Linked DNA regions of Canis lupus familiaris. The protein of the gene in region 2 purifies or fractionates together with the protein of the main gene of each other region. This does not show direct contact. Links are inferred from orthologs where the notes say so. Each region holds a gene or a part of one and is shown on either strand. Other genes may lie near its edges.

The links. The genes of interacting proteins can lie anywhere in the genome.
Region 1: the proteins of RMDN3 (region 2) and VAPB purify together in Homo sapiens (affinity purification with mass spectrometry; 4 studies listed by BioGRID and IntAct, counting the BioPlex papers as one, with this or other methods). This does not show direct contact. The link is inferred for Canis lupus familiaris from reciprocal best matches to the Homo sapiens genes RMDN3 and VAPB.

What each region holds. Positions count from the first base shown.
Region 1 is NC_049245.1:43,974,839-43,980,840, reverse strand, and holds part of VAPB (vesicle-associated membrane protein-associated protein B/C), read right to left. Parts: intron 4,710-6,002; coding exon 4,533-4,709; intron 1,754-4,532; coding exon 1,595-1,753; 3' UTR 1-1,594. UniProt on the Homo sapiens protein: Endoplasmic reticulum (ER)-anchored protein that mediates the formation of contact sites between the ER and endosomes via interaction with FFAT motif-containing proteins such as STARD3 or WDR44.
Region 2 is NC_049251.1:8,178,073-8,184,682, reverse strand, and holds the start of RMDN3 (regulator of microtubule dynamics protein 3), read left to right. Parts: upstream 1-2,736; 5' UTR 2,737-2,877; intron 2,878-3,221; 5' UTR 3,222-3,228; coding exon 3,229-3,415; intron 3,416-5,231; coding exon 5,232-5,424; intron 5,425-5,856; coding exon 5,857-6,000; intron 6,001-6,610.

The DNA of each region.
Region 1 (6,002 bases), on a different chromosome or scaffold from region 2:
CCAGCTGCTTAAAGATTTTTCAGCAGTTTTATTTTTACACTCTCAGTTGAAGCCAATAGTACACACACACACACACACACACACACACTTCAAATCATTAAACATATATATTTCTCATTGAATTGATAGGGCTCATTTTAAAACCAACCTTCCAATAACAAAATAATATTGAGGATCATAAGGATAATAATTTCCCCCCTATAGCAAGTGTGACAAAATGACAAAAGAACTCTTAATTCTGGGGCTTTATTTTAATTTTTTTTCTTTTTAAGATGCTACATAGTCAAACAGAATTGGATTGGTCTTTTATGGCATAAAATTAATTTACAGTCAAACTCTCAATCACTACTTGACGATTATCTGGAGCCTCTCACCCCTCTCCCGCCCCCACCCAGCTGGTTCCCTGTCTGCTACCATTCTGCTGCCTCATTCCAAGCAAGGGCCACATGGGAAAGGTCAGGACCAGACTTGGGGCACATGTGCTGGAAGAATGAGTGGCGGCTGAGGGGTAATGAGGGAAAAAAACAAGATCAGCTAGTCTTCTCCAGTTAGAAAGGGTAACAGAGTTGACTGTTGCTACTAAGGACTTCCCTCTCTTTGACAGTTGTTATTTATTTACACAGTGAAACACTTCTGGCAGCTGTTCTACAACATTCCAATAAACCACACCTCCAAGCTTACATAGAGCCCAGAACCTCGAGAGAGAGAGAGAGAGAGAGAGAGAGAGAGAGAGAGAGAGAGAGGAGCCCACAGCTCTCCAGCAGCAGTGCCAGCGTCACCCACTGGCATTAGGTAGCACAGGTGATTTTTAGGCCACAGCATTAATTATAATCTTGTGGCAATAAGGAAACATGAGATGAGATACATTAAATAAGTTAAATATGCATTAAACATCTCTGAATAACAATTCAATCTCACTACATGAACCAACAGTAATTTAGCTTGGTCCCTTTAAGAGAACAAAGCATTGACTTTCATTTCCAAAGTGTTGGGTCAGTCCACCTCCTGCTGCCTCCCACTGCCTCTCGCTCCTGATGGGCAGATCTGACACTGCCACAGCACAATGCCATTGGCTTCTGACCCTGTTCATCAGTCCCAAGGAACCGACAGCTGGGGACAGAACGTGGAGCAGCAGCCCAGAGAGTGAGTGAGTGGGTGGGGCTTGCTATGTGGAGGTGACGGCCCTCCCCACCGCACTGGGTTCCAGCTCCCCAAGGCCCGGCACCAACAGGCAGGAAGAGTGTCTTGTTCTAAGAGAAGTAATCAACCCAGCCACATGTACCAAGGCTACACATGTTTAAAATGACACGACATGCCATTACGATTTAATCACGGTTTCCCTTGTCATTAATAAAGACCATTCTTTTCCCCCAATCATTTACTATACATTTTTAACTCTCTAAAGGATTGTTACGTTATAATTGTGTGTGTGTATGTGCACGCGTGCGCACGCGCAGGGAGGGAGTAATTTAAAGGCAAGACCTGTGAGATGTCATCATACATGAACTTCTTTTTTACACATGGTTATGATAAAGTCAAAGCCCAGGGGATGGCGGGCCCATCAATCCAGTGTGCCGCCCTGTGCCCACTGCCTCTACAAGGCGATCTTCCCTATGATCACACCGACGATGAAGAACAAAACCACGAGGGCGAGGAGCCGGGCGCTGAGGCCCTCCTCCTTCCCAGCTGGAGCTAACACAGGCACAGGGCTGTTGCTCTGAGCTGTCTTCCTCATCCGGAGTCCATCTTCCTCCTACGGGAGCAAAGGCACATTTCAAAGACAACCCAAGGCACCAGAAGCAAAAGTCAACTGTCAGTTCAACAGGATGGGCCTTTAAAAAACACACTTGAATCACATGGTGTGGGCCAGCCTCCTCATTTTTCAAAGGGAGAAACTGAATCCCACAGAGAAGGCACTGGGTTGAGGTCACTCAGAATATATTGCCAGAAACCCCTCTTTCCTTCCACCCACCTACACAATGCTGCTAGGCACCTTTTTATACCATACATCTAAGTACCTTGGTTCCCCAGGACTTACAGAAAAAAGCCTCTGAAAGGCTCAGCCAGTCTCTTCTGCCCCCAGGAGCCATCTACCTCTCTGGCCATGCCTCCGGGCCACCCTTCTACATCGGACTCCAACCCTCTCTGTCTTCCCTCCCTCTACGGAGCAGGCTTCCCTAACCAAGTCATCCAGTTTTGAAATGATAGGCATTTCTCAAAGCACAAATATAAAAATCACAAGAAACTACACTGTGCAGCAGCTTTCAAATGCAGAACTCTGTATTGATGAGTTACATGTAGACTGCTGGACAGAAAACATGATATTTGGAATATTAAAATGTGACTGAATCTCATATATGCAGCTCAGATATTTTTCTACTTAATGCATGGAATAGAAACTTTTTCTTCCTTTACTCCCAAGGCCAACTCCACACCCCTCAACAGGGCATGCAGCAAGGCCTCTGTACTTGGGCTCAGGTGCATCTCTGGCTAATTACCCCAACTACTCATCCCCAAACCTGTCCGTCCTGGAGACAACAGGCAGGCCATTGTGCTGACTCTCCACAGCACTTGTGGCCATCTCTGTGGGGCCACTCATCATTCAGCTCATCAGTACTTTTGTCCCCAGCTACCCTGGTCAGCAGGGAGCTCCTCAGTGGCAGGGACAGCTTGTATTTGTGCCCACAGTGCTAGTACATGGGAGGGGCTCAGAAAATGTGTTGGCCAAATGAAAGAATGAAACAACACAAAACAAGAAATCAGTATTTGGCAGGATAAAGAATCTTCTAATGTCAAGATTGGTCTGATAATATTTTAAAGATATTCTGCTCATGGGGCATGGCCAATATCGCTGCACAGTGATAAATGACTGGTGTTATTCGATTAACTTCAAAAAAAAATGGGCACAGCAAAATACAGCATTTATTTTATTGGGTTTATACAGAAGCTATTTCTACCTATTTATCACTTTAAACGGCACAGGACTCTGTTTCTGAAGAGAAATACACTCAAGGAGAAGCTTTAGGCATATCTTAGATTTTTAGTCAAAAAGTAAAGTGTCAGCTTCATAATTTACACCATACTAAAAGAAGTTACTGAACGAGGCAAATCAAGATTACTGCAAAAAAAAGAAGATGATGCCATTCTCCAGACACTGTCAGGTCTCCTGTATCTATAACACTGTCAGAATAAAAGAAGGAGAAGTCAACTGAATGGAATGTATTTATTACATGTGTCTAGTGCTATGGTGGTTAAAGAGCAAAAGCCTAGGGCATGGGTGAGTGGCATGATCGAGAAGTGAACAGACCAGCCTCATATTTAAGCTGCAACAGACGTTCCTATGACCAGATGCTCAGAACCATTCTCTTCAAGACCATGTCTGAAATAGACATACTTTTAAGGCTGGACGGCGCCTCAGACAGGTTTTGTGAGTCGAGGCCCAGGAGATGCTGTGACCATCACAGATCCAGAGCTAGTCAAGTGTGAGCAGTCACTGGCATAACACCGTAGGCCAACAAGGCCAAATGAAGTGCACCCTACTTTCCTTTACTGCCCAGTTCAACCTGACCCTCTTAACACCCATGCCAACTACCTCTTCAACAGCCACAAGCTGGAGACCCGGGTTTCTCCTTCTATAATCTCCACCTGTCTACTGTGACAACTTCCCATCTCCAATCTCATCACCATGTGAACCAATCTGAGGAGATCCTACTGCCCAGACCCACCTAGAATCTTCAAAAACCAGAATTATGCCTATGTTAAAAGAGTACAGGTATTTACCTATTTACCCTCCTAAAGAAAAGATTCTCACCTACTGGGGATATAGTAGGGTTTGACACTGTGAATTCAGGATAACCACTGCAGTTTTGTGTTTAGTCTCAGAATTTATCTTCAGTTTACACTAATGTGAAGGCAAGAGGAGCTCTTACAAGAGGACAAGAGTCTGCAGGCTGAGGCCGGAGAATGGAACCACTGTGAGCTCAGGGCACAAAGCCTGGGTTCAAGTCTCACTGCAAGTACGACCTCAGGCAAGTCACTTAACCTCTGCTCCTCAGTCTCCTCACCTGCACACTGGGGATGGTAACAATCCCTACTCACAGAAAGGTTTAGAGGATGAAATACATTATTACAACATATCAAATACAAGGGAACAAGAATTTAAATAGTTGAAAAGCTTCTCCTCAGACACTGGTTAACTTGAGGGGTGGGAGTGGGGTGGCAGGAGGGAATCAGAGCTCTTTTGAGAACCTGATGAAAGCCACAGAAATTTCTCCCTAGGGGAAGAATGTGTAAATACAAAACAACTCTACAAATTCAGGGATTTGTCAACTCCCCCACTCAAGATCAGAGTGTTAAAAAGTCCCTGTTTTTTATAGATTATCAAGAAATAAAACACTATTGGAGTGCTCAGTTGATAGAGCGTGTGACTCTTGATCTCAGGGTTGTGAGTTCAAGCCCCATGTTGGATGGAGAGATTACTTAAAAAAATAAAATCTTAAAAAAGAAAAGAAAAGAAAAGAAAATGCCATTACCTTGAATTGCTTGTTTTCCTCCCGGAGCCTCTGCACTTCACCCTGCAGCCTCTTACACTCTTCCATCACCTTCTTAACTTCAGTGTCATCCAAAGAAGAACTCAGAGCTTTAGACACCGTTGGTGTTTCTGTCTTTGATGCAGTTGTGGGTATAATTTTATTTATTTCTACATCATGCTGTTCAGAAATAAATGAAAGCGCAAGTGTCACCAACTATGTAATAAAGGACTTTTTTATGCAAAGTAAAGTAGTTCTCGGCAAACACCACACGTGGTAGCGTTTCATCCACACTGTAAAATGTCACATTTATTTTAAAAATGGATCACTTTATCTAGTATCTTAATAATCTAAAGCAACTGGGCCCCAGAAATTATGGATAAGGACAAATAATGAAGTTCGGCTGAGACTAATACTTCAAAGGAAAAGAAAAAAGCCTGTGCATATTGCACGATCAAATTCCTGCCATGTAAAAATTAGCATATCGTAATCGTGCAAGCTCAGGAGTTATTAGCAACAAATTACTGTCACCAGGAAGACCTCAACATCCCCAGGACAGGCTGGGATGGGGGAGGTGGGAGGCCAGGGAGAATGTTATACAGAGGGCGATTTATTTCATGAACTCAGAACTTCGAAGCTGGGTTGAAGGTGAAACTAGCGAGGGAAGCTACACATCCTCTACTTCCCCACCGAGACCATTACGACAGCCTCTGGAGAGTGCCTGGGGAGGAGACACTACCAGGGAAGGCATGGAAGTGGTCAGATGTGCTGGCCATCACTGCCCTGCAGGTTCCATGCAGCACACTGAACACGACTGGCTCTCCCTATTGCACTCTCTCTAGTATGACTCTTCCATCTTCCAGGTGAGAAGAGGAGAGCCCTGCCAACAGCAAGGCTCCCATCTACAAAGCTGGTACAGCAGAGAGCCAGGAGCAGAGCACAGGTCTCACAGCTTCCCAAATCAACCTTCCTGGGACAAAATATGCATTGGGAATAGTCAAAACCAACAACAACAAAAATCCCATTACCCGTTCAAAGAAACAGGCTAATGATGGTGGTCAGTCATTGAGCAGGAAGAAAATACAGTAGCCGTGGCAAAATCAACAGCGTTCTGGAGATCACTATGGACAATGCTAACAGAATGTGAGCATTTTGATTTCCCAACTCCAGCTATTAACAGCCAGGGCAGTGGAATGTTCTACAGGGTGTTTTTAATACAAATTAAGCTTTTTCCGACTAAGTGGAAGGAAGGTCCAAATTAGCATTTCAGATACAGTCTTCTCTCTTCAACTGGTCATGAGCAAGGGCCATGACAGGCCTGCCCCTTGGTTTCATGGAGAAAAGCGAGCTGACAGCTTGGAGGCAGCTAGTCCTTTCTCTTACGACATATGCCTTAATGCTAATAACTTAGGCAGCACAGGGGGTGACTCAATGGACAGTGCTTCTGCCCCCACCAGCGCACAATGGGCAAGT
Region 2 (6,610 bases):
GGCTGTTTGGGGCAGAGATGAGAACAGGAATTTGGGGTCTGCTCTGCTTTCCTCTCTCTGGTCAGGATGGGGTGAGGAGGAGGAGACAGGAAGGCAGTGCATATCTCGGGCTCCCAGGGCTTTATTACATTTGCAAAACTGGTCTGCAGATGCCACACAAGATAGAGAGCTCGCTCCATCCAGAATCACCCACCCCGCTGCTGACTGCTCTGGCAGCCACATGCCCACCAGATAACATCTTTAATATCCAGGGGGAAATGAATTCCCCCGCTTGGTCTGCCCATCTGGCCTTGCCTCTTGCCACAATTTATCTGGCAGATCTTTCTCCCCTGCAGAAAGAGGAGAAATTGTTCTTCTACAACTCAGTTTTTCATCATGAAAGCATTATCTAAGTGGCCAGGCCTGGATATTGGTTATTCTTTCTTTCCTTTCTTCCTCCACATTCAGCTTCTATGGGTGGCGTCTGCATTGGAGCTCAGGGGATGTGGAGATGAATTGAGCACGAACCCCATCCTGGAAGAGTGAACACTCCAGTTGGGTAGCCAGACTAGAAAGCAAATAATCATGGCACCAAATGTAATGGAGGTAACGAAGCCCCAGGAATAAAGAAAAACAAAAGATTAAGTCCACTAAGGTGGTAGTCTGGGAAGATTCTCCAAAGGAAATGGCTTTTTATTCTCTCTAAAAGTTAATATTTTTTCTTATTACTAAAGAAACACATGCTTATCTCTGAAAAAATGAGAAAAATTATGGGAAAAGTCTATAAAAAACACTCTTTTCTCACCAGCAAGACAATTATAGTGTATTTCAGGATATACCAACTGAACTAAATCCTTAAAAATTAATAGGCGGTCTTGGTAAATTTCTATTCCTTAAGCTGTGGGGTGGGAACCTTGTCTTTAAATTGTTCTTGTTCGTTACAGTGTACATTATATTAAACGTACTCTCTTATTTGTAAAATATCTCACAATTAAAAAGTAAATAGAATATCTAGTCAAGGATTTGAGAAGGACTCTTAGATGTTTCAGCTGTGTCTAAACAAAATTTTAACTTGAAAGAAATGCTGATGGTAAAACTGGAATTGTACTCCTGTATTTTCAGTTTTTAAAAATATAAGAAGTTACATAAAATCTCAAAAGTAAAGTGGAATTATAAAAATCAATGGGCCATGGTGATGTTAATATAAAATAAAAATAAAAACTTTTTAAAGAAGATTTTATTTATCCATTCATTAGACACAGAAGAGAGGCAGAGGGAGAATCAGGCTCCCTGCAAGGAGCCCAAAGCAGGATTCGATCCTGGACCTCAGGATCACGCGCTGAGCGGAAGGCAGATGCTCAACCGCTGAGCCACCCAGGCGTCCCTAAAAATAAAAACTTAAAACTGTCAAGTTATTTTACCAGCAAAAACATAGATTTATTTAGGAATAGCAGAGGTTTGCAATCCAGGACAATGAACCTGCAACAAAACCGTAGGCAAGTTCAACAAAGAAGAGGAATGTTATTTTATGGAAAAGAAAGAATTTGGGAGGAATTGTTTTGAACACCAATCTATTGAAGAGAAGCAAGAGTTTAGGGTGATGATGGTTTCTCATTGGCGGGTTTGTAGGGGCAGGGTAGCCCATTTATTGCAGGAGATGCAATGTACATCTTTTTCTGTGGGAGCCTGTAACTTATGATTCTCTTCTTCTTCTTCTTTTTTTTTTTTTATGATTCTCTTCTGTTGAGATTCTTCTTTTAGGGGTCTGTAATTGACAATTCTTCCTGTAATTGACATTAAGTGGTATAGTTGCCCCTTCCAGCCTTCCTTTCTAGCAGCCTGTGTCCACTTTAGTGGTTTCCCTTTATTAATTTTCACAATGGACACAGAACTCCTGAAGAATACAGATTTTTTTAAAAAAATGAAATGGTTTCTGAGTCAATTTAAGCAGAGATCAACTCAAGTTTCAGCCAAATGTTTAAAAGGTGTTATCATTAGAAGAATGAATCTCATTTACATTTTGGAAATGGAAACCAATTTTTTTTTTTTTAGATTTTATTTATTTATTCATGAGACACACACAGAGGCAGAGGCAGAGGCGGAGGGAGAAGCGGGCTCTCTGAGGGGAGCCCCCGGGGGACTCCATCCAAGGACCCTGGGATCACGGCCTGGGCCAAAGACACTCAACCACTGAGCCGGCAACCCAGAAAACCAATTTTTAACCCTGTTCTTGATTAAGGTGCTACAGATCATGCAAGGTTTAAGGTTTTTTTTAGTGCTGGGGTTTGCATCTATTTTATGAATTTTTAAGCGCCAACCGGCAGGAGCTGGCCCTCGAGTCGGGGATCTCGAGCAGGTAACCACCAATTCACCTGCTGCAATCTGAAGTGCCAAACGGGCCACTATCTTGTGCTCAGTAATCGAGTCGAGTAAAAATGCACAAATAAATCAAGTCGAAATCAAATAAAGTCTGAGTTCTGACAGTGTGTCAAGGAAAGGTGGGGAGCAGGTGGGGTTGTCCAGATCGATCACGCGTTGGTCTAGGCACAGGCGACGGTAGACGCAAACGGAGACAGACATTCGGGAACTGCAGAAAAACTGGTGTGACTGGAGGGAAATGGAACCTCATCTGGCCAGACAAGGTGCTGCGGGAGCCTCCGACCTGGTCTCCCCGGCTCCTCCTCCCCACCTCCCTTTCCCGTTCCTCGGTTCCCCTCTCCCGCTCCCTGCCGGCACCGCCCCTCGGCAAGAGCGTGGGCGGAAATGGGGCCTTGCAGGTCATCTCTCCGCGCCTACCTAAGGGCGCGCCGGGCTGCTGGCGCCGCTCGATGACGTCACGGTCATTGACAGCGTGCGGCGGCGGCCGCGGTGGCTGCTACCCGGGCTGGGGGCGGCCGGGTAAGGGTCTGAGTCGACCTGCCCGGCCAGGGCGTCCTCCGGGGGCGCGGGAGGTGGCCCAGGGCTTGCAGCCGGGGCCGGGGGGGCCGTGTGCAGAGCCGTGGGGTTGGGGGAGGGAGTTAGGAGGCCCAGAAACCTGACTCTGAGAGGAGGGCGGCGGGTGTGCTGGAGGGGAGGCTGCGTCCAGGTTGGGAGAGAGGCCCGGCAGTCGGGCACCGGGGTCTGGCGGCAACCTCCGGGCCGGGATTGGGGTGAGGGTAGTCGGGGCCTCGGGAGCTTGGGGCTGGGAGGAGCGCGCTCACGAGTCTCTCTCCCCCTGGCCCCGGTGCCTCGCGCGGCTGCAGGTGCAGCATGTCTAGACTGGGGGTCCTGGGCGGCGCCCAGGCCGGGCTGGGACTGTTGCTGGGCACCGCCGCGGGCCTTGGATTCCTGTGTGCCCTTTACAGCCAGCGGTGGAAACGGAGCCAGCGCCACGGCCACAACCAGAGCCTCCCTAATTCCCTGGACTACGCGCAGACCTCAGAGCCAGGACGCCAGGGTACGAGCCAGTCTCCTGAGACCAAAGTCATGGCTGACGGATAGGCCTAGGGTCCGGGCTGCCTTGAGAAGAGCCTGTGGGACAGGAAACGGAGGGGGGTGGGTACCTGAGGGTTTCACCTTTTTGTAAAGCTTACTGAAAAGGCAAGCAGTCTTCCTCTTCTGTACTTTTTCCTATAATTGCAGGAAAAGGCTTGTGAAAAGGCTGTTTAGCTGTCACTTTTAGTTCAGGCCACGTTTTAAAGGTACTTAGTGTTGGGTGAGGTGTTTAATAAGTAGAGAAAGTCCAAAATAAGGCAAAAGGGAAAACTAACCTCAGGGGAATTAAGCCTTAAGGCTTACGTGTTCAATTATGTGTTGGAATTTGAAAGGAACTTGGAGACTATCCAAGTTTTGTTTTGGTTTTGTTTTTTTTTTTTTAATCCTTTTTAGGAGAAAATCGAGATTCAAAAAGATTATGTAACTTTACCCAGGTTGTCACAGAGCCATTAAGTGGTAGGATTGGGCCTGGTCACCTGGTCCTGTGGACTTCCAGGGCATGGATGTGGGGTGCATATACAGTAGAAGCTTACTGTTGCTGGAAGCCAGCCACAGCTGAAATAGGTAGTGCTTTTGTCACTTTGACCTTAAGTCATTTGAGCAAGGTATCTAGGGCTGGTTCAAACCACTCTCAGGTGTGTGTAATAGAGGAGCATTGCGGTCACCTCATCCCACGTTAATTGGGAATGAGTGTTTTCTCTGATTACCAAATGCCAGATGGGTTGGAAAAGTTAGCTTTAGAAGAGTCTCCAAAGAGCTATCAATTTAGATTGCAACTGTTTGTCCACATTTTATAACCTACTGGTAACCTAGTAAATGTGCTTGTCTTTCCTTTTCCTTGTGGTTTGTAATTTCTTGGCAGTAGATGTTTGGAAAATGTGGGCCAAGTTCCCAGAGATTTCTTTTTTTTAAGTTTCGTTTAAGTGATCTCTATACCTGACATGGAGCCCAAACTCACGACCCCACGATCAAGAGTCGCGTGCTCTACCAACTGAGCCAGCCAGGCCCCCCAGAGATCTTTCTTGCTCTACATTCTTGAATAATGTTGGGTGTGTACTGTAATCCAACCTAGACCCTTAACTAGATTTCCTTGAACGCATTTGTGCTTCCCTGGACTGTGGGTCCTGCCTTCCTGGTTTCTTTATTTTTACATTTTCCAGTAGAGTTGCCTTGGGTAGCTACCAGTTTATTAGCATTTATTGTTGGAATTGACCCGGAGCTCAGATGAGGGCTCAGGAATGGTGTTTTTCCTATGGGGAGTGGATGGGCTTTTCTCAGCATACCTTTTCTCTAAGTGTCTGCTTTCTCCTTGCCTTTCTCGAATGATACTAAATGAAGTCCCTGGGAGGAGCTCAGAGTTTTCCTGGCTCTTCTTTGTGAAGTGAAAGCTCAGAATTTGAGTAAATTCCCTTTAGTTTTGCTGTATAGTTAGTACTGACTGCCTGGTATCTGGGAACTATCCCGGCAGGCCAAGGGTTTGTTTTCCTCTTACAGGGCAGTGCTCTTGGCAAGCATTTTACATTACCTGCTAAAGACCCCAATGTGGAAGGTTCTTGGAACAGAGTGGGCTCTTGTTTAGAAATTGGGATCTTGATTTTTTTCTTTGAGTAGTTACTCGAGACTTACTACCAGGACGTAGCTGTGAACATAAACTATCTGAGCCTCAAGGGTTTTTGTAAATTGAGCTCCAGTGAGAAGCAAGTGTTCTTAAATTCCAGGTCCAAGGTCTTTCCCTCACCCTGCCTCAGGAGCATCACTGTCTGCTCTCCTTCCTGCAGTGAGGCTTCTCCGAGCAGTCCCAGGGGAAGCGGGAGATGCTGCAGTGCTGCTCAGCCTTCCACGAGAAGGGCAGGAGGAGGTGCTGGACCGCCTGGACTTTGTGCTGACCAGCCTGGTGGCCCTGCGGCGGGAGGTAGAGGAGCTGAGGAGCAGCCTGCAGGGGCTTGCTGGGCAGATTGTTGGGGAGGTCCGGTAAGTGATGCAGCCCTCTGTCCTGCCTTGTTCCTGCCCACCAACTTTTCCCAGCCCCTAGAGCTTTTTCAACTGGGCTGTGCCCTGGCCTTTGTTGCTGTGTCTAAGGAAGAAGCCAGTTCTATAACTTCTCACACAATCGGCAGGGAAGCTGTGTGCTTGGTACCTTGCCTTCCATAAGTTCCTTGCCGCTTTTGGGCTCTTATGGTCTGTTGTAGCAGCTGAAATGCTTTGTTCTGATTTACCTGGTCTGCCGCTGCAGGCTGGGTCCAGGGAGAAGCCTTTCTTGTTCTCCTGAGGGTAGAAACCCAGGATTTTCTCTGGCTTCGGCCCTTTAATGAGCAATAGTAGTAAGACGTTCCCTCATGGGGAGGGGAAAGACAGACTGTCTGGGGCCCAATAGCACCATCTCCAAAGGGGCCTGCCTTTCAGATCTCATATGGAAGAGACCCAAAGAGTGGCTCGGCGGCGAAGGTTCCCATTTGCCCGGGAGAGGAGTGACTCAACTGGGTCCAGCTCTGTCTACTTCACGGCCACCTCTGGAGCCACGTTCACAGATGCCGAGAGCGAAGGCGGGTGAGTCATTTCTCTTTTAAGCACTTGTGGCTTCAACTAGGTTATGTTTTGTAAAAGTACTATTTACCTATGGAAAATTCACACTGAGCTGCTATAAATAATTTTGGGAACATGGTAAAGGTATAAATGAATAAAATAGGGAATTGGTTAAATAAGAAAAACCATCCACCTTATGTCACCCAGGCAAATGAAATGTTAACAGTGCTTATTGTTGCATCTGTCCTTTCCTCTGAGTAGGTTTTTAACACAGTTACTGTAATTCTTATTTGACTATTTTTTTTAAAAGATTTTTTATTTACTCATTTGAGAGAGAGCACAAGTACAAGGGAAGCAGAGGGAGAGGGAACAGCAGACTCCTTGTTGAGCAGGGAGCCCGGTGAGGGGCTTGATCCCAGGACCGGGGATTATGACCTGAGCCGAAGTCGCTTAACTGACCGAACCACCCAGGAGCCCCTGTTTTCATTTCTCCTATAACATTAGTTGGGCATTTGCCTGTACTATCACAAGGACTTTATAAGCATTTTTTAATGACTTTATTTCCTTCAGTCAGTGGCTAAGCCAGGTTTATAGAGCCTTCTAAGCACTAACTGTGCTCCCCTCTCCTAGAAGG